4 linked regions of the Saccharomyces cerevisiae S288C genome follow. Changing the gene in region 4 together with the main gene of any one other region gives a genetic interaction. Each region holds a gene or a part of one and is shown on either strand. Other genes may lie near its edges.

Evidence for each region.
Region 1: mutations in YFL051C (region 4) and YHP1 together harm fitness more than expected from each alone (negative genetic interaction), as found in Saccharomyces cerevisiae (one large-scale study listed by BioGRID).
Region 2: mutations in YFL051C (region 4) and YNL035C together harm fitness more than expected from each alone (negative genetic interaction), as found in Saccharomyces cerevisiae (one large-scale study listed by BioGRID).
Region 3: mutations in YFL051C (region 4) and YIR042C together harm fitness more than expected from each alone (negative genetic interaction), as found in Saccharomyces cerevisiae (one large-scale study listed by BioGRID).

The regions. Positions count from the first base shown.
Region 1 is NC_001136.10:1,359,368-1,367,731, forward strand, and holds YHP1 (Yhp1p), read right to left. Parts: upstream 2,815-8,364; coding exon 1,753-2,814; downstream 1-1,752. Other genes in the region: 40S ribosomal protein uS13 RPS18A, read left to right, coding at 556-602, 1,038-1,431; PPN1 (endopolyphosphatase), read left to right, coding at 3,511-5,535; thioredoxin peroxidase TSA2, read right to left, coding at 5,705-6,295; GUK1 (guanylate kinase), read right to left, coding at 6,897-7,460; bifunctional K:H/Na:H antiporter NHX1, read left to right, coding at 8,118-8,364.
Region 2 is NC_001146.8:566,008-574,737, reverse strand, and holds YNL035C (uncharacterized protein), read left to right. Parts: upstream 1-5,046; coding exon 5,047-6,216; downstream 6,217-8,730. Other genes in the region: putative tyrosine protein phosphatase SIW14, read right to left, coding at 1-232; YNL033W (uncharacterized protein), read right to left, coding at 885-1,739; YNL034W (uncharacterized protein), read right to left, coding at 2,423-4,261.
Region 3 is NC_001141.2:431,680-439,064, reverse strand, and holds YIR042C (uncharacterized protein), read left to right. Parts: upstream 1-3,081; coding exon 3,082-3,792; downstream 3,793-7,385. Other genes in the region: seripauperin PAU15, read right to left, coding at 4,762-5,136; YPS6 (aspartyl protease), read left to right, coding at 6,954-7,385.
Region 4 is NC_001138.5:27,626-35,648, forward strand, and holds YFL051C (uncharacterized protein), read right to left. Parts: upstream 2,916-8,023; coding exon 2,433-2,915; downstream 1-2,432. Other genes in the region: ZNF1 (DNA-binding domain containing protein), read left to right, coding at 607-2,004; putative Mg(2+) transporter ALR2, read right to left, coding at 5,647-8,023.

The sequences.
Region 1 (8,364 bases), on a different chromosome or scaffold from region 4:
TGTCACTTGTGCAGTCAATACCTTAAATTAACTTTTACAAAGTATTTTTTTTAAACGGCCCATGAGCATAAATTGAGAACGATATTATTAATTCTAGTATATTTTAGGAACAGCAGGCCATTATATCCAAAACTTTTTTAAAATAGCATCCACATCACTTACTGGCGTACAGTTTCGTGTCTGGCAACAAAAAAGTACATTTAATTTCAATGATTAAAAAGACATTAAACATCCGTACATTACGCACCCATGCATGCTATCTGAAAATATTCTACATGCTGCTTTTAGAAATTTGAAGCGGCATATGGTGTTTCCTTGCGGAGACGCGCGCTCAGGGGAACTGCGATTCCGAAAGATGCCTTTCCCAGTCCCATATGCCCATCCCAAGATCATGCCCGGGAGAGCAAATGTCGCCCCAGCCAGGTCGGACACATCTGTCATTCGACCACTAAGTATTGTCAAAGCTAGGGTTAATTGAAGATAGCTCTACATGTTATTAGTAGAGTTTTTAAACGTTGAGATACTAGTGAACGTATACACAAGAGCGGATAAAAGATGTCTTTAGTTGTCCAAGAACAAGGTTCCTTCCAACACATTTTACGGTATGTTTATTATTACTAGTGAGCTATGACAAAATCGGCTAAAAACTTAAAAATATGACAGACAAGAAAGGAAATTCATTCACCTCTTTAATCGTGGCGATTATTCGCTAACGACGTGATTAAATATAATAATGATGTTCCCGGGCTGGACTAAGAACGTAATAATAAGGCTGATGAACAAATTTATGGTTTATGCATCAAAAAGGAACATGAATTTGGCATAAGCGCACATAATTACGGAACATTGCAATAGCGGTCGGAGGTAAAGTACCGGGAATGCTTTACAATGAATCAGCTATTGGCGGATATTGACCAACCAACACTAAAATTTTATATCCTGCTCCGATTTTTGTCTTGGCCGTGAAATCCATTATGCACATTTTTTACTAACGTTTATCAATAAGTTCGGTTTCCCGTCTAAATTTTTTTACGCAGTTTGTTGAACACTAACGTTGACGGTAACATTAAGATCGTTTACGCTTTGACCACTATCAAGGGTGTTGGTCGTCGTTACTCCAACTTGGTCTGTAAGAAGGCTGATGTTGATTTACACAAGAGAGCTGGTGAATTGACCCAAGAAGAATTGGAAAGAATTGTTCAAATTATGCAAAACCCAACTCACTACAAAATCCCAGCTTGGTTCTTGAACCGTCAAAATGACATCACTGATGGTAAGGACTACCACACTTTGGCTAACAACGTCGAATCCAAATTGAGAGATGACTTGGAAAGATTAAAGAAAATCAGAGCTCATCGTGGTATCAGACACTTCTGGGGTTTGCGTGTTAGAGGTCAACACACCAAGACCACTGGTAGAAGAAGAGCTTAAACTGATAAGATTATTCAAGCTTAATCTTTTTTGTACGAGTACATATATTTCCATAGCACTTCCTAATTGACTTTTTTTTAAAATAAATAAAGAAAAGAAAATTAATTTTGTGACCATAATTTCAACTTGCCTTTTTTTTGTACAGGGTTTCAGGGATAAATGGACCCTTGAAAGAATATAATATTACATCTCTATATAGATTTATGAAACAGGCCGCTTTAAATCTAAAAAAAAACGTTGGTGTAGTCTCAGTCATTACTTTGTGTAGTTTTTGTTAATATTGATAGCATCAGTGCTCAAGAAAATAAACACTGAGAAAGATTAGTTTTTGAAAGAATTGAGATCGACCTCCCCAAGGGGTTTTCTTTCGTATGCATTGAACTTTAGGCGGTTTTCCTTGCCTTTAGGACTTTTGATAATCTCGCTATGACCGGTATTTGATAATGTTCTCTTAACAAGCACAGATTTCCTGTGGAACTTGAGCTGTCCGCCGGGCTTGCAAGGCGTTATGTGGTGGTCTTCGAAGATCGAGGACGTATTGGCAGGTGAAGTTTTCAGCAACTCTGCAGTAATAGCCTCCTTCGTACTCGTTGGCGTAGAGGTAATTTCCAACGCAGCGTCTGAGTAAGATATCATAGACATCGAATCATTAGAGTGAACTTTGCAATGGCTGGTGTTGCCACTGTTCTTGTGCTTTTTAGCAGCCTGCCTTTTGTTCTGAAACCATATTTGAACCGATTTTTCGGACATATTACATTGCTCGGATAACTCTATCCTTTTAGCCTTATTGGGCGTGGGACATTCGTCAAATGCTGTTTGCAATATCCCAAGCTCATATGATGAAGTTCTTCTTCTTTTCCGACGAGCTAACCGAGCATTGTCTATCTTAGGCTCCTTCTTTGGAAAAGTTTCCTGTGAGTGTGTAATAAAGGCAAATGACCTTTTCTTTTCTTTTCTTGTGGTTGGTGTGAGAACAGCCTTTGCAGCAGATAGAGGAGTAAGAATATTAACTTTTTTATAAGAGTGCATACTCTGAGGTGGCTGCTCTTTAGAACAGACTCTGACCGTTGGCGTGAATGGTGAATGAGAGCTCAGCTTCTTGGGCTTGGATAAAGGCGTCATGGAAGTGGTTACACGTTGTGATAAGAAATCCACAGCCTGTGGACTTTTCCTTTTTGGCCTTTCCTCATCGCAAGGACTTTTATAAATATTTACCACTGGTCTCACAATGTGCGCAGATGCAGCTAATGGTGGCAACCTGATGTCACCTTGGTCATCACTAGGGAAGTTTGTATTTGGCAAAGTATGCAGTTGGAAAGGCGAATTAGAAGTACCTGTAATAATGTTTGGTAAAGAAGGAAGCACGGTATTTCTGCTTTCCATGTTATATATATACGATATTTTGTGTTATTGTTATTTCCCTACAAATGCTAGTTACACTGGCTGGCGAGGGTAAAGAAGAAGATAATACGAATTATAATCTACGTTGGCAAGATCGGGAGGACGCCATATATATATTTATAAACATTCATCTGTGTGATCCAGATCAAACAAATAAACAATGAGTAAACGAAAAATCTGGCTGAAATGTCTCATGCTATTAACCCAATTCAGCATTGATATTAAAAATACCGACGTATCCCTGCACGGAAAGCGCGTCTGATGTTTACCATTCCGGGTTTTTGGCGCGCGTCATGTCCAAATTAGGACGTGGTTTATAGCCGAAAGAGGAAATGTGATCTGCCCACCTGTGCGGCCCTTCTCTGAGCGTTTCGAGCAGGATGCATAATATGCTCCCTTCGTACGGTAGAGGACAAATATGACCATTACCCGACTATTGAGGACATATGTCGTTATTAGAATTTAGCACCTTTAAAGTTATATTGCACTTTTAATTACCAAGATTCATTTGAGAGTGTAAAGGGTTTTATGGTAGAATACAAGTCAGAAGAAGGCTAAAATCAACAGATCAATATTTTTTTTGGTTGTTGGGTTGGAGAATTATAAAGTTTTTTTGATCTCCTTGTCTCCAGCTATTGTTTTCATTGAGTAGGGGTAGAGCTAGTTAGCTGCTTTTCGATGGTTGTAGTGGGTAAGAGTGAAGTGCGCAATGTAAGCATGAGTAGGCCGAAGAAGAAATCATTGATTGCCATCCTGTCGACCTGTGTTTTGTTTTTCCTCGTGTTTATAATTGGTGCTAAATTTCAATATGTTTCCGTTTTCTCCAAATTCTTAGATGACAGGGGGGACAACGAGTCACTTCAATTGCTCAATGACATAGAATTTACAAGGCTAGGACTGACACCTAGGGAGCCAGTAATTATCAAAGACGTAAAGACAGGGAAGGAGAGAAAATTACATGGACGGTTCCTTCATATTACCGATATTCATCCTGACCCTTATTATGTGGAAGGAAGCTCTATTGATGCAGTTTGTCACACAGGAAAACCAAGCAAAAAAAAGGATGTGGCACCCAAGTTTGGGAAGGCAATGTCTGGATGTGATTCTCCCGTTATTTTAATGGAAGAAACTCTGAGATGGATTAAAGAAAATCTTAGAGATAAGATTGATTTTGTCATTTGGACGGGTGATAATATCAGACATGACAATGACCGGAAACATCCAAGAACAGAAGCACAAATTTTTGATATGAACAATATCGTTGCTGATAAAATGACAGAATTATTTAGTGCTGGCAATGAAGAAGATCCAAGAGATTTTGATGTGTCTGTCATTCCAAGTCTTGGAAACAATGATGTCTTTCCACATAACATGTTTGCACTAGGACCAACTCTACAAACTAGAGAATATTATAGGATTTGGAAAAATTTTGTTCCGCAGCAGCAGCAAAGAACTTTTGATAGGAGTGCTTCATTTTTGACTGAAGTTATTCCAGGGAAGCTTGCTGTCCTGTCAATTAACACGCTGTACTTATTCAAGGCCAATCCGTTAGTTGACAATTGTAATTCAAAAAAAGAACCAGGTTACCAACTTTTACTTTGGTTCGGTTATGTATTAGAAGAACTAAGGAGTAGGGGAATGAAAGTATGGTTAAGTGGACATGTACCTCCAATCGCAAAAAATTTCGATCAGTCGTGCTACGATAAGTTCACGCTATGGACTCACGAATACAGGGATATAATCATTGGAGGATTATACGGTCACATGAATATTGACCACTTCATCCCAACGGATGGTAAAAAAGCTAGAAAATCGTTATTGAAAGCCATGGAGCAATCCACTCGTGTTCAACAAGGAGAAGACAGTAATGAAGAGGACGAAGAAACTGAATTGAATAGAATTCTGGATCACGCTATGGCGGCAAAAGAAGTTTTTTTAATGGGAGCGAAACCATCTAACAAAGAAGCATATATGAACACCGTCCGCGACACATACTATCGGAAAGTGTGGAATAAGCTGGAAAGAGTGGATGAAAAAAATGTTGAAAATGAGAAGAAAAAGAAAGAAAAGAAGGACAAAAAAAAGAAAAAGCCAATCACTAGAAAAGAGCTCATTGAACGCTATTCCATTGTGAACATAGGTGGTTCAGTCATTCCAACTTTCAATCCTTCCTTTAGGATCTGGGAATATAACATCACCGACATAGTGAATGACTCCAATTTTGCAGTTTCGGAGTATAAGCCCTGGGATGAATTTTTCGAGTCACTAAATAAGATTATGGAAGACTCTTTGCTAGAAGATGAAATGGACAGCAGTAATATCGAGGTTGGGATCAACCGCGAGAAGATGGGCGAAAAGAAAAACAAGAAGAAAAAGAAAAATGACAAGACTATGCCAATTGAGATGCCAGACAAATACGAACTCGGCCCTGCATATGTACCGCAGTTATTCACTCCGACGCGTTTCGTCCAATTCTACGCCGACTTGGAAAAAATCAATCAAGAATTACATAATTCATTTGTTGAATCTAAGGATATTTTCAGGTATGAGATAGAATATACCTCAGACGAGAAACCATACTCAATGGATTCGTTAACAGTAGGAAGTTATTTGGATCTTGCAGGCAGATTATACGAAAACAAACCTGCATGGGAAAAATACGTCGAATGGTCATTTGCGTCTTCTGGATATAAAGATGATTAAGTTAATATACACATAGAAATGCATATCATTCTTCAATTACAGTTTCTTTTTCTTTTGTTACACTATTCTTTCAAGTCAATTTCATAATAATACAAAACCATCTTTCTTATCATATATAGGGTGATGTATTTTTAATTATTTAATAGGGCCTAGCGTTATCGTGCGAAGATTAATTATTGGCATTTTTGAAATACTCCTTGGAATCTTTAACGTCAGGTTTGATGGTGGCGGCTCCTGGGGTCCAGTTGCATGGCAAAACTGTACCATTTTTGTCAGTCCACTGGAAACCTTCGACTAATCTCAAAGCTTCATTGACGTTTCTGCCAACAGATAAATCATTGATAGTGATATGTCTAATGATTCCCTTCGGGTCGATTATGAACAAACCTCTTAAAGCTATACCTTCTTTTTCAATCAAAACGCCATAGTCTCTGGATAAGGAATGATTCTTATCAGCAAGCAAAGGAACTTTAACTGGACCTAATCCACCGTCTTTTCTGGGAAGGTTGGTCCATGCCAGTAAGGAATATTCAGAGTCGGTGGAGGCAAATAAAACTTGGGCGCCCTGATCTTCGAATTTCTTGGCGGCATCGGAAAACGCAACAATCTCAGTTGGACAGACAAATGAAAAAGCCAATGGGACAAAAGCTAGAACAACGTACTTACCTTTATACTTTTCCAGTGAAATTTCCTCGAAGATACCGTCGACTACGGCGGTTTTCTTAAATGGTGGGGCTTGTTTTTGAACTTCTGCTACCATGATTGGTTTTTTACGTTCTTGTAAGGCTAATATATTCTTGAGCAAAAAACAGTAATAGTGTTCACTTTGGATATTTCAAGATAAACAATGTAAGTAGCAAAAAACAATCGAAATTACAAAATATATTCTTACAATCGTCTGCTCTAAATACGTTAATCTAAATCTCATCCATAGTTGATCCTTGATTACTCGGGTAACAAACACCTTAGCAGATGTGTAAGAGAAAGGAGAGCCTCGCCCGCTCCTAAACGACGCCAATTGTAAGGGGGGATCAGCCCTTCCAACCCCCAATGACTAAAACTTGTAAACTAGAGGGGCGCATATAGTTAAGATAATCAGATACTGGCCCAATATGATATTGTCTAGATCTTGAGGATGACCAACCAACAGATTCCTGGCCACAGTATCCGTGGTCATTGATTTTGGCACTTGGAAATTCAAGAGATGGTTCTAGTCGTCGTAGCGCTTACTAACAAAAAAAACTAGCATAAGCCCGTTGAGAACTTTTACACTATATTAATTGAATAATTGGACGTTTTGTCGCTTTGCGACAGCACTCTCCTACCAGGTACATACTTAGTAATGTCTATATAGGGCTACATCATTTTTCTGCAAAGATAAAATCCTTCAATTCCTTGTAGGCCTTGTCCAAATCATCATTGACAATAACTTTGTCATGGGCACCTGTCTCAGCATATGCCAATTCAGCTTGAGCGGCGCTTAACCTCTTGTTGATGGATTCTTCGGTCTCCGTACCTCTACCTTCTAATCTTTTTTTCAAATCCTCGACCGATGGTGGAGCAATAAACAAAAACCTGGCATTTAACTCTGGGATAGCCTTGACAGATTTGACACCCTGCATATCAATATCTAAAATACAAGTCTTACCAGATTTACTGACTTGTTTGACGGAAGCGACAGTACTACCATAGTAGTTACCGGAGAATTGCGCCCATTCAATGAATTCATTGTTCTTAATCATAGATTTGAATTCATCTACGGAGACAAAGTTATAGTCCTTACCGTTTACTTCGCCAGCTCTTGGGGTTCTAGTAGTGGATGAAACACTAAACCCGAAAGAATCTGGGTATTCAGCGAACAATTTCTTCAACAGTGTAGATTTACCTGTACCACTTGGGCCAGAAATTACGATAGGACGGGACATAACGCAAAGGTTTACTAATCTTTATCCGAAGTAAACTGTAGTTATCAACTAAAAAGAAACGCCATTGTGTATCCATTTATGCTAAATGTATTTTTTTTTTTCTTTTTTATGTGTTTCCAAGCTTTTTTTCGAAATTTGGAATGTACCGATGAGTACGGTTGCTATTAGCATCGACGCCGCCGGAAAGACGCATCACATATTTCGAGAACCGAAACTTCCTGTCGATATAACCTACACTTCAAATAGCTATCATTTCGAATCGTCGCAGTTTTGACAATCACATTTATACACTTACTGTCGTTTTTTATGTAAAGGCTGTGAAAATTTCACCTTATTAATGCTTATAGAGCAGAGTTTAGGATGAATTTTGCATTGTAGCCTGCCGTGAGCACACACAAGGAGTAGCAGAGCAGTAGTCTTGCCAAAGGATTATGACAGATGATATACCTTGCACAAACGTGATAGCAAGGAACTGCAAAAGTTGATATCGAACAATCATTATTCACGGTGTGACTTTTTCTGTTTCCGTTGCTTTTCTAGCTACTCTAAGATAAAGGGCACCCAAGATTGACAAATAGTTGTAGATTAAACATAGATTGCAAGCAGTGAAATTCAGAGGATAATCTTTTATCGCTGTCAGTACATACCATATGAAAAATGCTATCCAAGGTATTGCTGAATATAGCTTTCAAGGTGCTGTTAACCACCGCCAAGAGAGCAGTTGATCCTGACGATGATGATGAACTTCTACCTTCCCCGGATCTCCCGGGTAGCGATGACCCTATTGCAGGTGATCCTGATGTAGACTTAAACCCTGTTACAGAAGAAATGTTCTCTTCATGGGCATTGTTCATTATGTTGCTCCTATTGATCTCTGCATTGTGGTCTAGTTACTATTTAACTC
Region 2 (8,730 bases), on a different chromosome or scaffold from region 4:
CTGACTTTTCTTCCCCGTGAAATCGCTTTAGTACTTCGTTAAATTCTACACTGAGGAGCTTGTCTTCTTGAATTATGTTATGGATATCTCTACCATCGCCATTGTCTATCAGTAACTTGCCATCTTCCTTGATTAGTCGTATGATTTCTGCCTCATTTTCTATCAAATCGTCAATCTTGCTGCTGCTTTTCGGATCACTTCCCTCATCATTCTTTGCTTGATATAAACCCATCTCCTTTTAAACTTTAGATGAAAAAGAAAAATTGATCCAGAAGAGAGTAGATAAAAAGCCGAACTGTAGCAAATTCAAAAATTAGAAAGTATTATTTAGTTACTGTCTTCAATTGAATCTTCTTTCCCAGTATCATTATTAAGTATTTCCTTCTCTTGTCTCTCAAGTTAACTCACGCAAAATTATTTTTATTTCCATTCCTTGAATTAAAGCCCAGCTTTTTTTCCATCTGGCGGGAATTGTCTGCTATTTTTTACCCGCGTCATCAAAAATATTGATAGCATAGTCTAATAATCAAACGCTTACAGATCAATAAATACTCATCCCGTAGCGCAGCGTACGTACTGTGCGTTCCAAATCTTGCAATTGCAAGAAGGATGTAAGCGCTTTTTTTAGACATTAATTTTTCCCTTATGTAGCTGGCAAAGTCGATATGTACTATAAAAAGCCATTGCAGTAGTATCATTCCCGGCTGCTTCCAAGTTGGCGAGCCGCAAGACTCAATGCCGCTGTATATTTTTACTGGGAAACAGGTTTGAGTGTTCACAGATTGAAATTTTTATTAATACCTATTAAAGTGAAATACTGACAGATACTATGTACATGTAGGGGTAAGTTGGTGTATGGTGTGTACAGCCAGGAGCAGCTCCATCTATAGCAAGCTTGAAGAGTACATATGGACGCTTAGTAACGTCTGGTTAGGCCGGTCTCTCGATAAAACCGCGAACCCGTTTCTTTCCCCCTGCCAGTCCTCTCTGTTAAGAGTTGAAGCCAGTTTAGTGATGCCGCCCAGTACTTCTATCGTATAATCTCCAAAAAGTGTGTATAGTTCGCTTACAGAGGGCATTTTCGATGAAATATCCGCGAACCCCAAGGCGCTCACTGATCCAGCATCTAAAATCGAAATACTCCCATGGTTGTGGTGGGATAGCGAGTCCAGAGTGTACTGGTCAAAGCATATCTCTGTAAACAAATCGTGGAATGGCACTATCGAGTTTTCTCCGACGGTCATGAGTAGACATTTCTGCCGGTTGCTTCCTTCGAACGGGTACACTAGTTTCTGAGTGATATCCATTTTAGTAAAAGCTTTCCCGACACCCTTTCCGAAGATTCTGCCGACCATTTCCCCAAATCCCAGTCCTACCATTTTTTCCATATCAGCATCGCTATTCAGCTTATTTTCCTGCAGATACTTCAGAAGATAGCCCCAAGCGGTGAGTAGTAGGACAATAAAGTTCAGCGCACAAGAAGTTATTTTCAAAGGACCCTTCCACTTAAATGGTGCGCAGTTGAAAAGAAACTGCATGGTTTGAATTATGTTAGTAGCAGTATTCAAAGCGGTTTCCGCTTTGTTTTGTGGTTGCGGTGCGGCAGTCACAGTTGTGATTTCGGTGATTGTTGACGTAGTAAATACAGTTGTTACATCGACCGAGTGACAAAGTACGGTTAGGGAGGTAACCAACGCAAGGAAAAGGACGGTTGTCCTTGATTCTCTGGAGTAAAGCATGATCTCGCGCACGCTCTTGCTATTGACAGCCTCGTTGTATCAACTTGTGTTTAGGAAAGGAGGCAGAATAAAGATTAAAAATGGAAGAAAAGACTCAATGGTTCCAGCGAAACAAAGATGCTTGAAAAAAAAAATAATTCAGAAACGAGTCTCTTGTCAGGAAAGCAGTGTCAGGAAAACAGTGTCTGTTCTATAGTTTGTGTTGTGTCCCTCAAGCACTTTTGTTGTTAAAAAACCTTGCTAAAGTTTTGTACAGGTTTATACCGTTGTGCAAAAACTGCTGCTAGGATAACTGAACAGTTGTTTCTGTGGCAGATGTCGTGAATAGGCGCCTTTATTTTAAGGGTCCAGTGATTCGCGATGTGAATAAATACGCGCGCCGCTCTCGAAGGAACCTTTTGAGGCTGCTTCTGTCGATAAGAAGGCTTGGCAAAGGCCTTTGCTTTACTGCTTCTTTCCCGCCTTTTTGGTGCATTGGGTTAATTGATGAATATGCGTAAAATTTAAATCAGACTATGAAAACATATATAACAACTATTACAAGAGGGAAGTGGTAGTCTACTTGAAGAGGCGCGCCAGAAGAAAACGGTGGTAAGTACGAAGTTATGTGTAGACTAACTTGCTCGTTAAAAGTATTTCGTCAGCCGTGCCAAACAGTTCGAACTATCGGAACTTCTGACGGTTCACTGATGTACAAAAGTTGAGAGCCATTTTCGTAACCGGCTTTTTGTCCCATGCTCAGAAGGATGCATTGGTACGGTCACTTCGATATTCCTTCTCTGTGAGTGGAGCCAGAGCTTTTTGTTAGTTTCTAGTTCTGTTGCTGTGCGAGACTCACGAACAAGTAGTAGCCGGCATGGTTTAGATGGTTCTGGCACGGTAAGCTGAGGAGCGCTATTATGGTTGCGGGTAGTACAGTCATTAGAAGGTGGAATAGATTCCTTGCATATGTCTATCAGTGCCTGAAACGCCCTCTCAATGAGGGAGGTGCCAGGACTCAAAATTAAGGATTGTTCGGCGGGATGCGGTAAGCCTTCGTATACTAGGTTGTTGGACGGAAAAATCTGATACGGCTTGATCTGAATGTTAGGATCGACCTTACTGTCTAAAGTATCGAGAGTGATGTTTCCTTTTCGGTTTAAAGACTTCTTCTCGCCGACATCGAGAGAAAAATGAATGTGATCAAGAACCAGATCTATTTCTCTTTGTGTGTTTTTCCAGGGACAAAAAATGGAGTAGGGCTCAATCCTCTGGAAACCTTCGTATTTGTATTGGTATGAATAAAAACGGCACTCTGCTTCCTCCATAAGTTGGTCGTAGCTGGGCATTGTATCGAAGTTGAAGGGTCTCTTCCAGAATGGAATACTTTTATTTGAGGGATTGTAGTACCTTCTGGGCTCAGATTGTTCGTCTAAAAGCAGGTATTGAACAGCTATCATCTTGCGCTCAAATTTAAATTCGAGGGAATCGTAGTCAATGTTCTTTGTACTTCTCAGAAAGAGTGGACAGTATTTTCCCATTTTGCTTTCAAACCAGTTCTGTGGCCTGTCAAGGTACTGTTGCATGTATGAAGGAACTACAGTAGTCAACGTGTGGTTAGACTGGGAAAATTCCGCTGCGGACCCGACGCTGCAGCTTATATTTTGATTGCGGGGAGCAGGAGCGCAGGCATCTTGTTTAGATTTTTGGCTTGGATAATGTTTGTGGTGATCAGTGGAATTTATTGGGCAGTAAATTTCAGTTGGAATGATAGATTCATTCGTCTCTTTTGTTCTGGAGTCCTTGGTGCGGCGGAAATCAAAGCAAGTCACTTCTGCGTTAAGCGATGCGAAATTGCCGTCTGGAAATGACGATATGTGGGGAGAATGAGGAGGATTCCATGACGAATAAACTGATGAGGATGTGCTAACAGATGAGGTTAGTGAGGGTACCGATTCGTTGTTTTCTGACGCAGAGTCTGTTGTGGGAGATGTGGTAGCGTTATTTCTTTGCACAAGAGAAGGTGGGAGCATAGCACGGTTGTGGGAGGAGGAAGAAAGCATTACGTTGCAACTATCATTTACGGAGTGGGATAAGAGGTAGGAGGTTGTCATAGCGGTGCTTTCTTCCTGGTGCATGGCAGAAGACGTTGGCAGTAATTCGTTTATTATGGTGACATTGTCGTGATTAGAAAGGACTGTCTCTTTTACCATTGCCTCGGGTATGTTTTTTGACGCTTGCCCTGAACTTACTCCAGAGCAAGCCTCAGTAGAAGAATGACCGGAATGATTCCTCTTATACACGTTCCAGAGCGGAGCATTCTTGACATCATAAAAAAAGTTGCTGACAGGATCTTTGGACTGGTTGACGTTAAGTGGTTCCGTAGCTGGTCTGATGTTTTCTTGTACGGTATCACTGACGGCTGAGAAACCTTCAGAGGAACCGCTTTCGGGAACAGACTTGGAGGATTGCAAATTAAGCCATTGAAAGTCTAGCCCAACCTTGTTGCAAAAGGCCTTGAACTCCTGGAAAGATGTAGACATTATGTGGGCGAAAAACAAAATTAGACCAACGCTTTAGCAAATTTTTTCAACCTCAAATTGATATTTGAAGATTAGATCGGATGGTTTTTTTTCCTGTGGTGTAGGCCAAGCTTAAACAAGGTTTTAAGTGAAAGTGGAAATAATTGTGATAAACATGCGGAAAGAGTGCCAGCCTTAAATAATTCCGCATTGTTGCTATGTCGTTTTGTTTTTGTTTTTGTTTTCGTCTTATTGGTATTTGTTCATTTTACGACCACAAAGGATCCAGGGCTTCTACTTGCACAGGGAGGGTTGCTTGGTTAATACAATACAAACGTCAGAGATATTAAGATTTGTAAAGGGTGCATTCAATGAGTTTTTCCTCAATGTGCCCTAGAAAGGAAGTAGTACGAACATTTCTCAGTCGGAGTTTGCCGGAAATTCGAATGACAGTGTAAGTTGAGTTTTGTGGCACAGGGATAATGAGCGGTGGTGCTGGCACACAGTAGTGACGTTGGTTTGGTAGTGTGGAGGGACGGTGGAAAACAGATAACAGTGGTCTCTTGGCCCAGTTGGTTAAGGCACCGTGCTAATAACGCGGGGATCAGCGGTTCGATCCCGCTAGAGACCATTCTTTTTTTTTGCATTGGCAATGTGATTTATAAAAGTTTTCTTAGTCCAGATTGTAAAAATGTTAGATGGGACTACAGTGCACGTACGCAGTCATTAGGACATAGGCACTGGCTCGTCTTACTGTGTAAATAAAAACTACTTAAGTTCGAGAATCTCAAATTAACTTCTAGAGCATGGCTAGTTATTCTTTAGTTGAATCGAATTCTTTCGGGTCAGAAAATTGGTGTCTTAAGTTACAGCCTAGTTATAAACATGGTCTTTTAACTGGATTAAGTAATGGCGAAATACGTTTGCTAGACTGGAGTACTGGTAAATCAGTACAAAAGATTAAGGCGAGCGAAACTGCAATCAATGATATGAAGGTCATCGGTAGCGACTTCTCTGCTGGTCATCTAGTTAGTAGCGCCTCTATCGACGCGGTGAAAGTTTTCGATATAAGGACGAATGACCGCATTGCTCAAATTCAAAACGAGGCCAACTCCCCCTTTATTTCCTTAGATTCTCGTCATGGTCTATTGGCCTGTGGTACCGAATTGCAGGGAATTGACGCTGCTGTATACATATATGATATTCGCAAATGGGACACTCCATTGAGATCATTAATTGACTCTCACCATGATGACGTTACCTGTATTAAATTTCATCCTTCTGACGTCAATATTTTGCTCAGTGGTTCAACTGATGGTTACACGAACATTTATGACTTGAAACAAGATGAGGAGGAGGACGCTTTACACCAAGTTATTAATTATGCGTCAATACATTCCTGTGGATGGTTGTCCCCAAAGAGGATATTTACACTATCACATATGGAAACATTTGCAATTCACGAATTGAACGACAAATCTGACGAATTGAAAGAGCCACAACCCTTGGACTTTGGTGATGTAAGAGAAATATGGAACTGTGACTACGTGGTAGATATTTACCCTGGACTCATTGCAACCGGTAAAACCCAAGAAAATTGTGGAGAGTTGTGCCTCCTACCATTTAAAGATGAGAAGGTGGATACTGAAAACGGTATTGTTATCCCACACGCCCATGGAGACGAGGTCGTCAGAGATATTTTTATACCAGCACAACATAGCAACATGTTATACTCCTGTGGTGAAGATGGTTGCGTTAAAATTTGGGAAAACAAACAGGGGCCGTTAGATATTCCAGAAAATTTTTGGGATTACTCTAAAAAAATGAACGTCTTAGGAGATGACGACAGAGAAGGTTCCATTAATTTAGACGAACCTCTTATTATTCAAAAAGAATCGGTTTCCACGAGGCCAAGGAAGGAGAAACACAAGAAAGCCAAGAAACATTCCATGAAAAGTCGTTTCAAACCATACTAGTTTCATAAAGACAATACATCTAAAGAGATGCCTAACATCTGCAAGAGATTTCGGCAGAACTACTCTATAACTTAAAAAACGAAGCATACATTCCAAACAAGTTGATACTTCTAGATCATAGTTTATCTTCATAGGGCTTCTTTTGTTGGTACAATGTTATAACAACTATATTTCTGCTATATAGAGTATTAATGCATTTTTTTTTTTTATCTCCAGCATTAAACGTGCACGCTTCTATAAGGTGGAAAAAAAATACTAGAAAAGGAATAAGTGAAACACCACGTTGATGGTGAAAAAATATAAAGGGGCGAGCTGGGAATTGAACCCAGGGCCTCTCGCATGCTTTGTCTTCCTGTTTAGGCAGGAAGTCGCCCAAAGCGAGAATCATACCACTAGACCACACGCCCGATTATTTTATGGTGATTTCTGTCTCACAGGAAATTGTTATCAAAGGATAAATAGCATATTTGTCTTAAAGAAGGTTTTATAAATAGACATGCAGAATGTACTTATCAGTGGTATTGGAATGTGTTGGAATAAAAATCAACTATCATCTACTAACTAGTATTTACGTTACTAGTATATTATCATATACGGTGTTAGAAGATGACGCAAATGATGAGAAATAGTCATCTAAATTAGTGGAAGCTGAAACGCAAGGATTGATAATGTAATAGGATCAATGAATATTAACATATAAAATGATGATAATAATATTTATAGAATTGTATAGAATTGCAGATTCCCTTTTATGGATTCCTAAATCCTCGAGGAGAACTTCTAGTATATCTACATACCTAATATTATTGCCTTATAAAAAATGGAATCCCAACAATTACATCAAAATCCACATTTTTCTTCATGGTAGCGCCTATGCTTCGGTTACTTCTAAGGAAGTCCCATCAAATCAAGATCCGTTAGCCGTTTCAGCTTCCAATTTACCGGAATTTGATAGAGATTCCACTAAGGTTAATTCTCAACAAGAGACAACACCTGGGACATCAGCTGTTCCAGAGAACCATCATCATGTCTCTCCTCAACCTGCTTCAGTACCACCTCCACAGAATGGACAGTACCAACAGCACGGCATGATGACCCCAAACAAAGCTATGGCCTCTAACTGGGCACATTACCAACAACCATCTATGATGACGTGTTCACATTATCAAACGTCACCTGCGTATTATCAACCGGACCCACACTATCCGTTGCCACGGTATATCCCACCACTGAGTACTTCCTCACCTGATCCAATCGATTTAAAAAATCAACACTCTGAAATACCTCAAGCTAAGACAAAGGTGGGAAATAACGTCTTACCACCACACACTTTAACATCAGAAGAAAACTTTTCTACATGGGTTAAATTTTACATCAGATTTTTGAAGAACTCTAATCTCGGTGACATCATTCCAAATGACCAGGGTGAAATCAAAAGACAAATGACTTATGAAGAACATGCGTATATATACAATACCTTCCAAGCATTTGCCCCATTTCATTTATTGCCAACATGGGTAAAACAAATTTTAGAAATTAATTATGCTGACATCCTTACAGTCCTTTGTAAAAGTGTGTCCAAAATGCAAACTAACAATCAAGAATTAAAGGATTGGATAGCTCTTGCCAACCTTGAGTACGACGGAAGTACATCTGCTGATACATTTGAAATTACAGTCAGTACGATCATTCAGAGGCTAAAAGAAAACAATATCAATGTTAGCGACAGATTGGCCTGTCAACTAATACTTAAAGGTCTATCCGGTGACTTCAAATACCTACGTAATCAATATCGTACCAAAACGAACATGAAACTTTCCCAATTATTCGCTGAAATTCAGTTAATATATGACGAAAATAAAATCATGAATCTAAATAAACCGTCCCAATACAAACAACACAGCGAATACAAAAATGTTTCTCGCACATCTCCAAACACGACTAACACAAAGGTTACAACTCGTAATTATCAGAGAACAAATAGTTCAAAACCAAGAGCAGCAAAAGCTCACAATATTGCTACATCTAGTAAATTCTCAAGGGTGAACAATGATCACATTAATGAATCAACCGTTTCATCACAATACTTAAGCGATGACAACGAACTTAGTCTTAGGCCAGCAACAGAAAGAATCTAAGCCAACACACACAGTAGACTCGAATGACGAACTACCTGATCACCTTCTTATTGATTCAGGAGCTTCGCAAACGCTTGTCAGATCAGCCCATTATTTACACCATGCAACACCCAATTCTGAAATAAACATAGTCGATGCTCAAAAACAAGACATTCCTATAAATGCCATTGGTAATCTTCACTTCAACTTTCAGAACGGCACCAAAACATCAATAAAAGCACTACACACACCAAACATAGCCTATGATCTATTAAGTTTGAGTGAGCTGGCTAATCAAAATATTACTGCCTGCTTTACCAGAAACACTTTAGAAAGATCGGATGGTACAGTACTAGCTCCCATAGTCAAACATGGAGACTTTTACTGGTTATCTAAA
Region 3 (7,385 bases), on a different chromosome or scaffold from region 4:
GAAGTATGAGCACTACCATGACGTCATTAATGTAAAAGTTCCTTAATATCGTCGTACCACTATGCTCTATTTAATATATTGTAATATAACTGCACTCTATAGTCATACAGATATTTTCACTTCGCCCTATCTTCCCATACTATTGTCATGGAATCTCACACTGACGCATGATTAAACGAACAATTTATACTATAAGGTCTGTCATTTGCGCTCTATCCTTTTGTTTGCAATATTTATATACAGAATCTCAAAACAAGCGGGAGAAGTGGTAATTACCCAGAGGTCATGCATGATCTGAGTACCACCATACCTCTAAGTTTTTGCTTTGATCCGTTTTACAGTGACAACAAACATAAGGAGAAGGCATTAAAATGGTATCGAAAGGTTATCAATATAGGGAAATAAATTGGTTCTATGAATCTTCATGTAAGATACTCGTAGGCCAGACTCTTTCCCGTGTAAATATTTGTGACAGCTACGTCTATTTTCTACTATATGTTTACACAGTTTTCTCACAGGCAATCTACGCTTAAATATGTGTTTCATTTCAGGCGGCAACTGCTGTGCGAGCAGTGACATTGCCGGTCGCACCTTAAAACGTAAGCCAAAGTTATGACACGCTCTCAAAGTACCCGCATTAAAGTTTTATAAAAGTATTATTACGACTATCGAGTAACTTAGATAGAAAACCGGAAATGAAATGGATGCCCTTTTCGAATAGCTGAGTTTCTTTGTCTAAAATAGCCCAACATTGTTGCCCTTTTTCTATCATGAGATTGCACGAACGCGCGCGCTTCGGCGGCTTTTTTTTCTGCTACATAAAAGCGAAAAGGAAGAAGTTATTACTTTGAATAAAAAAACCTCGAACTGCCATCTCACTACCAAATGAAAGAGAATGAAGTCAAAGATGAGAAAAGCGTAGATGTGTTATCCTTCAAACAGCTCGAATCCCAAAAGACTGTTTTACCCCAGGATGTTTTCCGAAACGAATTGACCTGGTTTTGTTATGAAATTTACAAGTCTTTAGCGTTTCGCATCTGGATGCTATTATGGCTACCACTTAGCATCTGATGGAAACTTTCCAACAATTGGGTTTACCAATTTATAGTTTCACTTCTTGTCCTGGTTTTGGGACCAATATTTCTCCTTGTTATTCGTGAACCTTCTCGTAAGCGCTCCTTATCGAAACAACTCACTCAGTTTTGCAAAGATATTACTAAAAACGCACCAAGTTTGGATACTCATAATTGGGAAATCGTTGCAGCAAATCTAAATTCGTACTTATATGAAAATAAGGCTTGGAATACTAGGTACTTTTTCTTCAATGCCATGGGCTGCCAAGAAGCGTTCAGAACAACCCTTCTCGAACCCTTCTCTTTGAAAAAAGACGAAGCTGCCAAGGTTAAGTCATTTAAGGATTCCGTCTCTTACATTGAAGAAGCATTGGGAGTTTATTTTACAGAAGTTGAAAAACAATGGAAGTTGTTTAATACTGAAAAATCATGGAGCCCTGTTGGCCTAGAAGATGCTAAACTTCCCAAAGAAGCTTACCGATTTAAGCTTACCTGGATTCTTAAAAGGATTTTCAAGCTGCGGTGTTTACAAGTCTTCCTTTATTATTTTTTAATTGTCTACACGTCTGGAAATGTTGACCTTATATCACGTTTCTTGTTTCCGGTAGTAATGTTTTTTATCATGACGAGAGATTTCCAAAATATGGGAATGATTGTTTTATCCGTTAAAATGGAACACAAGATGCAGTTCTTGTCAACTATTATAAATGAGCAAGAAAGCGGTGCGAATGGATGGGACGAAATTGCAAAGAAAATGAATAGGTATTTGTTTGAGAAAAAAGTCTGGAATAATGAAGAGTTTTTCTACGATGGACTTGACTGTGAATGGTTTTTTAGCTGCTTTTTCTATCGCCTTTTATCTTTAAAAAAAACTATGTGGTTTGCTTCGTTGAACGTTGAGCTATGGCCATACGTTAAAGAAGCACAATCCGTGGTAACAAGTCTTTAGTGAAAAAGTGAACATGTTTTTTTCAACCTAAAAGGTGGGTTAAGATTTTCATCGAGCAATTTTATGCACACAGCACGACATGGTTCAGAGTATAATATATTGGAAGAAAATGCACACGAGCATAATTCTCAAATTATATATAATTACTGAGTATTAATTACAACCGGACACGCTCCATAATTATTCTTTTAAGATTATTGTTTATTAAGGAGCACTTCTAGAAAATAAATGTTTGGAGCCATTAAAATGTAAACTAGCAGATAATTATAATTTATATTCCTTAAAGGCACAAATCTCCGTAATATGTGTATGTATTTATTACTTTTGAGTTTGCCTATTTAGCACAGAGCGGATCGAAAGTATTGGAATAGTAACACCGATATTATTTCTTGGAGGCTTCTCATGAGCCAGCATCATTTTAAAGTCAAGCAGTTGAAATGGAGTACATTTCCTCATATTTTCTATATATACACGAGTTCTTATTTAACTTGAATTGAGTGATTTGTTTTCATCATCTCTTGGCAATTTGTTTTTGAAATATTTTTTGAAAAGAAAGATGCAAATTTCGCGAATCACATTTTCTGTTGCATCGATAAGGTTATTGCTGATCATAAACACATTTATGTGAGATTTGTTTCAATAGCGCACGCACTTATACGCCACTCGCTGAATTTGTCTCCTTCTCAAAATTGGGATTATCATAAGGCATAAGTGTATATTAGAAAATTATGCAAACTCTGTACCTATATTTGCAGAGTCTATAAGAAGCTGTTTACTGGGCTTACAATAAAGCAGATCTCTTGTACTGTAATACGTCTTGGATCATCGCCAGTGTGAAAGTCAAAAAGTTCGTAGTTCTTTGTGCACGTGATATTTGCTCTGTTTATTGGTTCATAATGGAAGGTTGTTTTTTTTTTGAGCCATTCTTCAAAGGTTGATAGGAGGTTGATAAGAGGTTGATAAACAATCAACAATGATATAAAAATAGCATGGGAGGACGCCTTGCAAGAATTTTCCCGCCTCTGAACCTGGAAATAATGCCCTTCAGTAGAAACAATTATGGCGAATTTAAATATATTTGGGCAAGAAGTTGGTGCTGACGTCGAAGGTTGGACAACAAGGGCCTTCCCAGAGAAAGTTGTATTGAAAGGTAACACTTGCAGACTAGAACCTCTAGATAGAGAAAGACATGGTTCGGAACTTTTTAGTGCCTATAGTGAGGCAGGCCAAAAATTATGGACGTATTTACCTGCGGGACCATTCACTAACTTGGAGGAATATCTAGAATTCATTAAGGAACTCAATGAAACTAAAGATACTGTGCCTTTCGCAATTATTAATAAAGAGACTGAACGTGCCGTTGGTACATTGTGCTTAATAAGAATCGATGAAGCCAACGGTTCACTAGAAGTTGGATATGTTGTTTTTTCACCAGAATTACAGAAGACGATTATTGCAACTGAAGCTCAATTTCTGTTAATGAAGTATGTATTTGATGATCTTCAATACAGGAGATATGAGTGGAAGTGTGATAGTTTAAATGGGCCGTCAAGGAGGGCAGCGATGCGCTTAGGCTTTAAGTATGAAGGCACGTTTCGACAAGTGGTGGTATATAAGGGTCGCACTCGCGACACTCAATGGTTTTCAATAATCGATAAAGAATGGTTACGCATTCGTAAAACCTTTGAAGAATGGTTAGACAAAACAAATTTTGAAAATGGCAAACAAAAGAGAGGAATAGCAGCAATAAGAGAAAGCTTGTCAAACTGAAAACTCGCCCTCTCTTTCATGCAGGACATATGTATATATAGCATTTTTTGGTTACCATACTGTAGACTAGGATTTTTTTGCAGTCATGTGAATTTTCCGACTTCACCTTCAACAAAGAAAAATCGCATTTACAATGACTAAGACTTCACGCATTTGCGCTGATCTCCTTTAAGCTTGAATGACATTGAAATGTTACGTCGATACCGATAATATTTTGGGCTCTCGGTTTTGATTTAAACCAGGAAGCGTAGCTCTCACCTTACTAAGGCTCACATCATGTCATTTATAGTGTCATTTTGGCCCTAACTATATTCCACCTTTCTTCCATATAATAGTTTCAACCTTAACCTCAAAATGTATCATTTAATTTTTCTCATACTCTATCATATTTGTTATATAAACGTACAAAGATTGTAATGTTAACTATGCTAAAGTACAATTATTCACAGCATACTACACCGCGCTACGGTTCGTTACCAACCCTCACTAAACCCATAACGAAAGTGGGTTATCTTTACTATTTTAAACTATATTTTCCTTTTCTTTTCAGTATCCTCCTTACCGTACTAGCACATTTTTCTTATATGTCTTTTTATTTTCCCATCGTTGAATATATTCAAGTATCCGTTCTGGTTCTACAGTATTTAATATTCACGGGTCAAGACAAGAGCAACTCTACTGCTGTAACAGGTGAATAGCTTGAACGGATTCTGATCTACGAATCCTGTTGTAAAACTGGCCTATTCCGTACAGCTCACATAAAAAAACCCCTAGTTGTGAGAAAGATAAAAGAGCAACTATGCGTTCCCTATTATATTGACGCCCAGCCGGTAGTTCGTGAAAGCAAATGAATTTATAATATTAATATATGTTTATATGTAATCAGCTGTATTTATATTGAAAGCATTTTTTATTTCATTTTTTCGTTACTTTCAATGTCTATGGAATCTCATTCGTAAAGGCATGTCTCTATTTTGGAATAGCAGTGTAAATACCGTCCTTAGATAGAGCACTGGAGATAGCTGGTCTCAATCTGGTAGAGTACCATGGAACACCAGTGATAACTCTGGTGACTTGTTCAGCTGGAATACCAGTCAACATGGTGGTGAAGTCACCATAGTTGAAAACAGCTTCAGCAATTTCAACTGGGTAGGTCTCACTTGGATGAGCTGCTTGAAACAAGTAGTATTGGGCCAAATGAGCTCTGATATCGGAGACGTAAACACCCAATTCGACCAAGTTAACTCTTTCGTCAGATGGAGATAGAGTGGTAGTGGCTGGGGCAGCGGCAACACCAGCAGCGATGGCGGCGACACCAGCAGCGATTGAAGTTAATTTGACCATTATATTTGTTTTGTTTTTTAGTGCTGATATAAGCTTAACAGGAAAGAAAGGAATAAAAACATATTCTCAAAGACATACAGTTGAAGCAGCTCTATTTATACCCATGCCTTCATCAGTCATCACTACTTAAACGATTCGTTAACAGGTGCTCATTTAGCACCTCACATATCCTCCATATCTCATCTTTCACACAATCTCATTATCTCTATGGAGATGACCTTGTTTCTGAACGAATCATACATCTTTCATAGACTTCGTATGTGGAGTATTGTTTTATGGCACTCATGTGTATTCGTATGCGCAGAATGTGGGAATGCCAATTATAGGGTGCCGAGGTGCCTTATAAAACCCTTTTCTGTGCCTGTGACATTTCCTTTTTCGGTCAAAAAGAATATCCGAATTTTAGATTTGGACCCTCGTACAGAAGCTTATTGTCTAAGCCCATATTCAGTCTGCTCTAAACGGCTTCCATGCAAGAAATATTTCTATCTCTTGAATTCGTACAACATTAAACGTGTGTTGGGAGTCGTATACTGTTAGGGTCTGCAAATATGTAAACTCTCGGCGAAGGCCTTGGTGCAATTACGTAATTGTAGCCGCTGAGAGGCGGATGGTATTGAGAGAAGTTGATATTCAAAGAATTGATTATGATAAAAAAAAAAAATTGTAACCAATCCGTAAATACTGAAACTCTTTGCAGTAAGAAATCTTTCATCCCCAGAGAGAACGCGGAAATATTCAGCCTAAGTCTCTCCAAATTGATTTCTTTCATTTTGGTAGCGAAAGACTTAGTATCAACCTCAAAAAGTTGAAATTTTTGTAGATATATGTGCGGATGACATGAAGTATCCAGCTCCTTTGTGAATATGGAAGCAAGTTTCTTTCAAATTATTATCGACTTTTCCTCTGCCCCTTTTACCTTATAACTTTAGGAAACACTACCCTATCCATACTCAACTAAAAAAGTAGTACGTTTTCTTCTTTGAGAGGTATGGTGCAAACCAGTGCAATCTGATTCCAGATTGCCCTCACGTGAGGCTTCAGTAAATCTCGATCCCTCTACATATTACATTATCTCCTACTTGGCAAAATAGATGTGGCTTTAGTTGATGAAAATTTACCACGTCAACTATTTATGTCCTTTCTACAATAAACCCCGACCTACTATCCTCTATGTTGTTTTTAACATACCATACGAGCGTCATATGTCTTTTGGTTCACTGGGGAAGACCATCACTGTTGAACGTTTGTTGAAAAGTTCGAGATGATGAAGATTGCATAACAAAATGTAAAGTTATTTTTAGAAACTATAACGGTTCAAGACATTCAACACTATAACATAGCTTGGCTGGCTTGAACATAAAGAGGAAGAAGCAAAAGCAAGAGTAAAAAGCTTCTCATTTATTTCTGGCATTGTTGATCACCCAGTGCAAGCCCAATTTCGCCTGTGCTTTTCTTAAATTGTTTCTGACAACACCGAGGTTTTCGCTGCAGAAAAGGAACATATGGTGGTAATTTGTATAAGGGGTTAAGGGTCCAAAAATTTGCTACCCTGTCGCTCACTACAGCAAAATATCTCGAGATATCCGAGGAGTTAAAACTGACTAGACCTGTTGCGTAAACCTCATGCAAGCAGTACTCTTCGAGGATTTAAGCTTTGGAACTGCTTTCAAAGTTGAGAGTATATAAGGTGTTATGATCTTGGAATAGGGTTTTTCATCGTTCTTCCTTGTTCTCTTTTTTCATTGGTTGATCAGTTGTTAAATTTTGTCTCTTTCGAAAATAAGGATATTTGAAGACAACGCAAAGCTATCAATATGCAATTGATTTCCATCCTCTCTTTGTTGTCATCATTGATGTGTTCATTGACCGTTTTAGGGTCTTCCGCAAGTTCCTATGTTAAGTTTCCTGTTCAAAAGTTGGCTGATATTATAAATATATGCACACAGGATGTTTCTACCGTCTTCAAAAGAAATGAGGTTCTTAACACCACAGTGATAAATGGAATAGGAGTGTATGTTGTCAAGATGGAAATCGGAACGCCTCCACAAACGTTGTACCTACAGTTAGATACTGGCTCTTCAGATATGATTGTGAATAATGCTGACATTGCCTATTGCAAATCGATGTCTGACGGATCTGACTACGCTTCAACTGATAATTACGAGCTCACAGCAACGTTCAATGGGCTTCCTTCGACTACCATCTCATCAGAAGCTTATAACACTCTCTGCTCTTATTGGGGTACA
Region 4 (8,023 bases):
AGGCCTCACTCCGTTCCGTACGTAATGCATAGATAAAGTATCAGGATCTTCACGATGCTCGAGAGTTACTTAGTAGTCTGAGTTTATGCGAAAAAAACTCCGCCGTTGTAATAATCGGGAATACACAGAAGTAGTACTGCACTATCACTGGGATACTCAAAAACCTTCTTTTTAACTTTTCTATCCCACAAATAGAACATAGGAAAGAACATTGACTCCTCCACTTGAAGTTAAATTACAGGAACAAACGCCTAACTATAATTTCGACATTGTTGCATCAACGAATCGACCGAAAGAAAAATCTGGAGTTGCAGTTATCACTTGTATGTGCACTAAGATTTATATTTTTACTCCTGAGATCTGCCAAATCGGTAGCTTATTGAACTGCGTTCCTTTTTCCCCTGAGTTCTCGAGGTACCTGCGGCTTTGTCTGTGCCATCTCCCCCACTTTAAAGTACCCCACGTTACTACCGCGTTTTTCCCCACCCCCGGCTTAATAAATTAGCTATATCTTGTTGACTTAAATACGGAGAAAAGAAGAAAACCTTCAAGAAATGCTTCATTGTCTTGTCAAAAGAGCTAAAGTAAAAGAGCTCTAGTTCGAAGATGGCCCGCAATAGACAAGCGTGCGACTGTTGTTGCATTCGTCGAGTAAAGTGTGATCGTAAAAAACCATGTAAATGTTGTCTTCAACACAATCTGCAATGTACATATCTTCGACCTTTGAAGAAAAGAGGTCCAAAACCCGTCAAGGTGAGAAATTTAAAGAAAGTAGATGATGTACAGGTATTTAGTAAAAGTAGTAGTGGTGGCATAATGAAGGTTCCAAAGGCACTAATTGATCAGTGTCTGCGGCTCTATAATGATAAGTTGTATGTGATCTGGCCTTTGCTGTGTTATGATGATCTTTACGAACTTTTAGAGAAAAGATATGACGAAACCTGTGTGTATTGGTTCCTGGTATCTCTTTCTGCCGCCACGCTTAGCGATTTGCAGACTGAAATTGAGTCGGAAGGAGGGGTTACCTTTACTGGGATACAGTTATCCAGTTTCTGCATGTCATCACGCCAAGAATTTGACGATTTTAACGGTAGTGATATATTCAAGATTATGACGTACTATTGTCTAAACCGCTGCTACGCACAGATGTCCAACTCAAGAACTTCGTATCGGCTTTCTTGTGAAGCCGTGGGGCTCATTAAGTTGGCGGGGTTCCATCGCGAGGAAACTTTGAAACTTCTTCCTTTCGATGAGCAGCAGCTTGGAAGGAAAGTTTATTATTTGCTTCTCTTAACGGAAAGATACTTTTCTGTGTATACGCATTGCGCCACGAGCCTGGATACCACGATTGCTCCACCACAACCGGAGAACGTAACGGACCCCCGACTATCTCTCGACAGCTTCTTGGAGATGATTAGGGTATTTACTGTACCGGGAAAATGCTTCTTTGATGCTCTAGCTACCGACTCTGCTAATGTAACCTGTACTGAAGACTCCCTTAAAAAGATATGGAGGGAACTTCATACGGTGCCACTTGAGATAGAACCATGGTCTTACGGCTATGTAGACATATCTTTTTCACGGCATTGGATTAGAACACTTGCTTGGAAGCTAGTGCTTCAAATAAGCGGTATGCGAATCAGTTTCCTTTCAAATAGCAAGAATACGCATATTCCAGTAGAAATTGCTAGAGACATGTTAGAAGACACATTTTTAATCCCAAAAAATCTTTATGCAGTTCACGGTCCAGGGATATCAGTGAAAGCACTAGAAATAGCCGACGCATTGGTAGATGTTGTGAATCAGTACGATCAAAATGCAGAGTCGGAGGCTTGGAATTTTTTGTTCGATATATCCAAATTTGTCTTCTCTCTTAAGCATTGTGATAGCACATTAGTTGATAAGTTTACGACAAAGTGTCAGTGTGCGCTTATCACGCTTCCTCTTTCTAATCCGCTTGAATCGACAGATGGTTCTAAAGAAGATGTAGATGCGCTTCCTTAAGTAAACACATTGCTACTTGCATTTTACCTTTCAAGATGTAGTGATTACGGACAGTTGAAGAGGCTAATAGCATCTATTTCTTCTTTAGTATATGGTTCCTGCAGGGCAAACAATTATTTCCTTTGCAATTTTGCGGCAGTGGGGAAGAATGATAGCACTAATAGTGAACTTGTGGACAATTATGCTATTATAGCAAGAAAAAAAATTTATTTTTTTTTCAAGGGGGGTGATTGTGATGTGAATTAAATCAAGGATATACGCTTTTATCGTCATGATAGTCGTGCGATTTGTACTTGGTTATAGATGAAATGAGTTAGTTTTTAATAATTGTGATCACAATATAGCTGTACTTATCAGGCCATTAAAGTTTCCTGTAAGGTGCACGAGAAGTCATGGTCATAAAATTATCAGAATCTCCAAGGAGAGGTTCAACGGCGTCGGTTGCCCATACTCCATATTAAGTACCCTGTCATTTCCACAGTTACATTAGTTGGAGTAGTATAGAAACCAAAAAGATCAGAACTCCAATAGGCAGTATTTGGGTCACAGTATTCAGTGTCACGTTTTTTAGTTTCATAAAGAGGTCCGCAAGGATCATATCCATCCTCATCACGCTTCAAAACTGCATAAGTCACACAGGTAGGAGTGCTCTCACAAGGCGGACTATAGTATATGGAGAGATTGGTCTGTCCGCTAACGGAACCTAACTTCTTTGTATTGGAGTATTCATAGCCCATATATTCAGGCTCCAAGTATGTGGTTTGGTCGCCTATTGTGTACTCATAAAAATTAATATTCATACCATCTTCCCTTTTGTTTGTTGGTAAGCAAGCTTCTGTACTGGCTAAGGTTGTAGTAGCTAGCGCCACGAAGACCAAGAGTGCCGAAAATACGGAATGGGGTATAGACATTTGAAGGTGTGGAGGGATGCTGGTATCCTCCAATTGTTACATTAAGATTATCATCTGGCTATCATGAAATGAAGGTTACCTTTATATAAGAAAGACTTTTAAAAAAATGTTTTGTTTTCTGCTTTAGGGAAGTAGATATCGTTCCTGCATTTTGATATCAAAATAATCTCCGGTAGGCATCAATTGCAGTTAAAGCTCTTTCTGGCAAAAACCCCGATACCCATGTAGGTACGCTCTTTTCACCAGGTCTTAATAATTTGATGGGCACCGTTTATCCCAGGCAAGCCAAAAATTAGAAACAAAAAACAACTCACGTACGTTAAAAAACCTGATAGTGCTTCGTACTACATAGAACCCTGCGCTGTTATCTGCTAATCGAGCACTACTAAATTCCCTCCAAAGGAAGTAGAGTATAGATTCTATGCACCGATGTGAAAATAGTAAACCTACGATAACCTTTTTTTTTTTACTAACCGAATTGAGCAGATATTGTTACCTGTTACGGTCATAAAAGTTAAACGATTTTGCTTTATTTCTGTCCCTGGCTGAAAATAGTAAAGAAGAGGGAAGGCAAGTTCAAGGGCAGCTTAATAAGTCATACGAAAACGTTCTCGAACTTTTTTTCTGCAAGCTTTTCAGAACCACGATGGAAAAAAGAAATTTTTACAACACTAATGCCAAGTAAGGTTTTTCGGATTTAGGGTGGCGTCCTGAAAAAAAAAGAAACGTCTCAGAACGTTTCGGAGAAAAAAAAATAAGGTGTCAAATTTCTTAGTGTTTTGACGGGTGATGCCCTTCCAGATAAATCTCGTGGAGATTGGCTAGCGTCAAACGTCACCGATCTCTATTTCTTTTTTAGGTTATTAAATTTCGATTACATCGCGTGTTCTTAGATAAGTTACCAAGGGTGCTCAAAGGAAAATTATATTTCTTTTTTTCTTTTGAGTAATTGCAGGTGAAGAGATACAGAGCAAGGAACGTGATGTAATGCATTTTTTTTTTTGTTCCTTGGAACCACATGATTTACTCAACAAATTAATCTAGTTTGTGCTTCAAGCATGCACCATTGTGAATATTTTTTTAGTTTCAAGGTGACAGGTTATGAAGATATGGTGCAAAAGACAAATGTATGGTGGCAGGCATAGTAAAATGATGGTGTGGAAGACATAGATTGTATTTGTTTTGCATTATCCAAGTGCTCGAGATTGGTTCTAAAAAACAAGAAAATAAAGGGCAAGAAGAAAACCAGTTACTTCTACATTGAGAGGCCAGCCAGGTTGCCGCACACGTGTTGGTGCACGTTAAGTTTTGGGCTCACAGTGGTAAATCATAGAAAAAGCAGTTGCTTAATTTCCCTCTTTTTCATATTCTCTACGCTAGCACTGTAAGGAAAAACGCAGAAAGCAACATACAACGTTTGTTAGGATGTTCGTACTTCACAATAAGCAGACAATAACCATTTCAAGTGTAAAAAAAATTTTTTTTCTGTTAGTTTGATGCAGAAGACTTATACTTTTAACTTTTTTGGTTAACTTACACAAACCAAGCGCACAACGCCTGCGCTTTTTAGTATTAGATGGCATGATTTGAAAAGCATAAAAGTCTGGATATTGGAATTTAGGGAGGCGGCGGGATAGAGCGATAGTTTCTCCCCATATAAAGTCTACAAAATGTGTGGGTTTTTGATATCGATCGAAATTTCACAAGGTGTTCTATAATGACTAACATTTTTGTGAGCAGTTGACTCTCCTTAGTGCACATTGTGGAATATGTATGCCATGTCTCTTAAAGGGGTAAAAAGAGGTATTCTGCATACTACCAGTGGGGTTTATAGCATCGTTTAATCTTGTTATCCTGTTTCGGTTTCGGCAATTTCTTTCAAAATTCTGTTTTCAATGTTATCTGGGAAAGAAATGTTTCGAAAAATAATACGTAAATTGTTCCGACAAAAGAGTTCTTGTCTATGATTATTCAAAATGCTGACTTTTTATTTAGCGCTTATTGGAGTCTTTGCTGTCTGTAGAAATCTGACCAGGCATACAAATTATAGTTATTTACTAACGCAAGAAGTTTATTGTGGTTTTCATGTGTATGTGGCCACGTAGATTTATTTTGTAAATAAGTATCGCGACAGCTTCTATTTTCTTGGTTTAATACGCCTGTACTAATTTCCATTTTTGAGTTTAGGCGGTGCTTTCGTAAAAATGATATGATTATTCCGCTCATAAATGGTAGTCATGGTAAGGAAGATAAAAAAAGCGCAGTTCCACTGTCAGGCTTCGTTTATTTAACAATATAGATACATCATAAAAGTTTTTGGTAATGTTCTCTGGTTTTACTTCGTACTTCTGATCAGAAGTCTGTTATATCATGGTTCGGTACCAATTTTTTTTATACACCATTGTGATGATGTTAAAACTAAACGTATAAATTGGTCAATTATGTTGCTAGTAATGCAGCTCAAGCAAATTTATTTTATTGGCCTACATAAAGAAAACTAACTCTACAACTTTTACGGTATAAATATGCAATGTGATTTAAAAAATCACTGAAGTGTGTCAGAATATGAGAAACTTTAAGTGAAGCGTCATATTTTTGTGCCCTCATATCAAAAAAATGCTTTAAAAGCAGTCAACCAATGTGCCAAAAATTTTCAAAATTCAGGAACTTGTTGTTCGGCAGACTTTTATTCTGCCTGCTAAAGATCTGCCGACCTACCATAGCGGTCATGTTAATTGTAACGGCTATATCTACTGGGTAGACTGACAGTTGATTTCCTTCGAACGCCAACTCTCGCATTGCCATTTTTAGAATCATCGTTAAATCTTTTATCTCTTTTCGGTAAAAAACTAGATATGACTGATTTGGCCCCACTACCTGCGGCTTCGTTGAGCGTTGCAGGTGGGTCTATTTTTTTGATCCAATAGCTAGCTAAAAACCAGCTTATGACAGCTAGTAAAAGCAGTACCCCCAAAATTCCATACCACCACGCAATACTTCCATTTCTTCCTGGAACTTTTACATTCATACCGAACAGACCAGTAATAACATTTAATGGAACTAACATTGTACCTAACATAGTAACTTTACCCAACATTTCTGTAACTTTATTATTAGAGTTAAATGATTCCACTTGTAATTGGGCCAGGTAGTTTGCATGTGATCTAGAAAAAATCTTTTCGTACGCCAATAAATTTTGAAACATCGTCAACAAATGATCCTGAATATCACCTAAGTATAAAGCAATATCTCCCCTTGGTTGTGATGTTGTTTGCATATAGCTATTTGATAAGCTTATTTGGTTATTACTATTATTCTGGTTCACATTCTCTTGTTCCGCTTGTAAGTTCACCATGTTAGTTTGAGATTTAAGCACTGGCCCAATACCATTAGTTTCATCTTGACATCTTTTGGCGAACATTTTGATAACATCTGCTTTACCGCTCAAGAGTCTCATCAGCGTCATTGTCTTACGCCTACTTTCACCAATCCTTTGTAACATGGCTGCAAAATCCATATCACGGGTCATAAACACTGAATCATCAATCGAATCAGCTTCATACTCGATGGATTGAATAACCGGAGCAAAACTATCTGTGATATCATCGATTAAAGCATAACATAACCAATCTGAATTGACACTGACATAGTCACGTAATTGTCTTACACGTCTTCTTACATTGGCACAGTGTGATATTGGGTCAAAATGAAAAGTCAAGACACCTGACCTAAAAACAACGATGTAAACATTTATAGGTTCAAGATAATTCTCCGATTCTTTATCATTTTCAAATGTATGGAAACAGACAAAGTAATAGGATTTGAAAAGCTCTACCTTTTCACGCGTTTCTTGCATCCTGATATCTTCCGCGGTCAAAGGATGGATTCCAAATGTTTTTGCTATGCAACGCATTTCATCATCAGTTGGACAACTGCAATCCAACCACCACGTTGGATCGCCTCCCTTGAATAACTCATAAAACGTCTGTCCCTCGGATATCAAAGAAGGGATATCACTAGCATGCACAGTTTCATCAGATTCAGAGCGGAAGAACGAAAATCTACTAGGAATTTGATATTCTGTATTTTGGAGGGTATAATACGCCCGGCTATAACTCGAATCATTTCCTTCTTTTTCACCTTCAATCTTATTTCTACCAAATGTTACGTCAGGGTGTAGATCAGGTTTATCATCTTCCCTCACAGATTCATTGTTTTCAGATACGTACATCTCATTAACGCTGCAATTTTTTTCAAGAGTCCGTGAAATTTCAGGTGTATATTTCAGAGCTGCTGAGGATCCTGAAGTGGAAGCAGAGTTAGTAAATCCAGTATCTTGGTCGGTATGATTGTATGTTCGTTCACTGTGCCTTTGATGGTTCGCCAAAGACAGATTTCTTTCAGCATTTGAAATCTGGGCATATTCTTCCAACTCATCAAAATCAACACCATTAACTCTTGTATGTAATAGTCGAAACATTGGAAAACAAACGTCTTCTTCTGTTTCTTGAGAATCCCTGGATGCTTGCGATATCTCACTATGGAAAGATACCCTGCTATCCATACGTAACGGTTTAATTCTTCGTGTGTCATTTCCCATATCGGACTTTTGCGATGCAGTTCTTGTCAACAACGTTGTAGGATTGACTGATGAATGTGTCGATATTGTAGAATAGGTTCTTCTCTTAAGTTTCGCCTGTTTGGGATGCGTACCATGCTCTGATTCAGCCGATGTTTCAAAGATTGCGCTAACTAGCGAAGCCTTACGAGCGCTTGTAAAAGTTCTTGCCGAGGAGGAGGCTTCTAAGTTGCATCTGTTACTTGACGTACCGGCAGGTAACGCCGTATCATGGCCTCTCTCTAAAGCCGCATTCTTTGGCAAAGAGGGAGCGATGCTCTCTACATGAATCTGCTTTTGGTGAGTTTCAGACTTTGCTAGCCTGGATGGCCTCGCATTAGAACTTAAAAGCGCGAAAGATCTTAACTGGTAACGTTTCACTGCTTCTGCTTCTGCTTCACCTTCAAAATCCATGCGGCCACTTGTGGATATATTCGTTTTCTCCACATAGCCTCCATTTTCCACTCCACTATTCTCCCCGTTAGAGGAA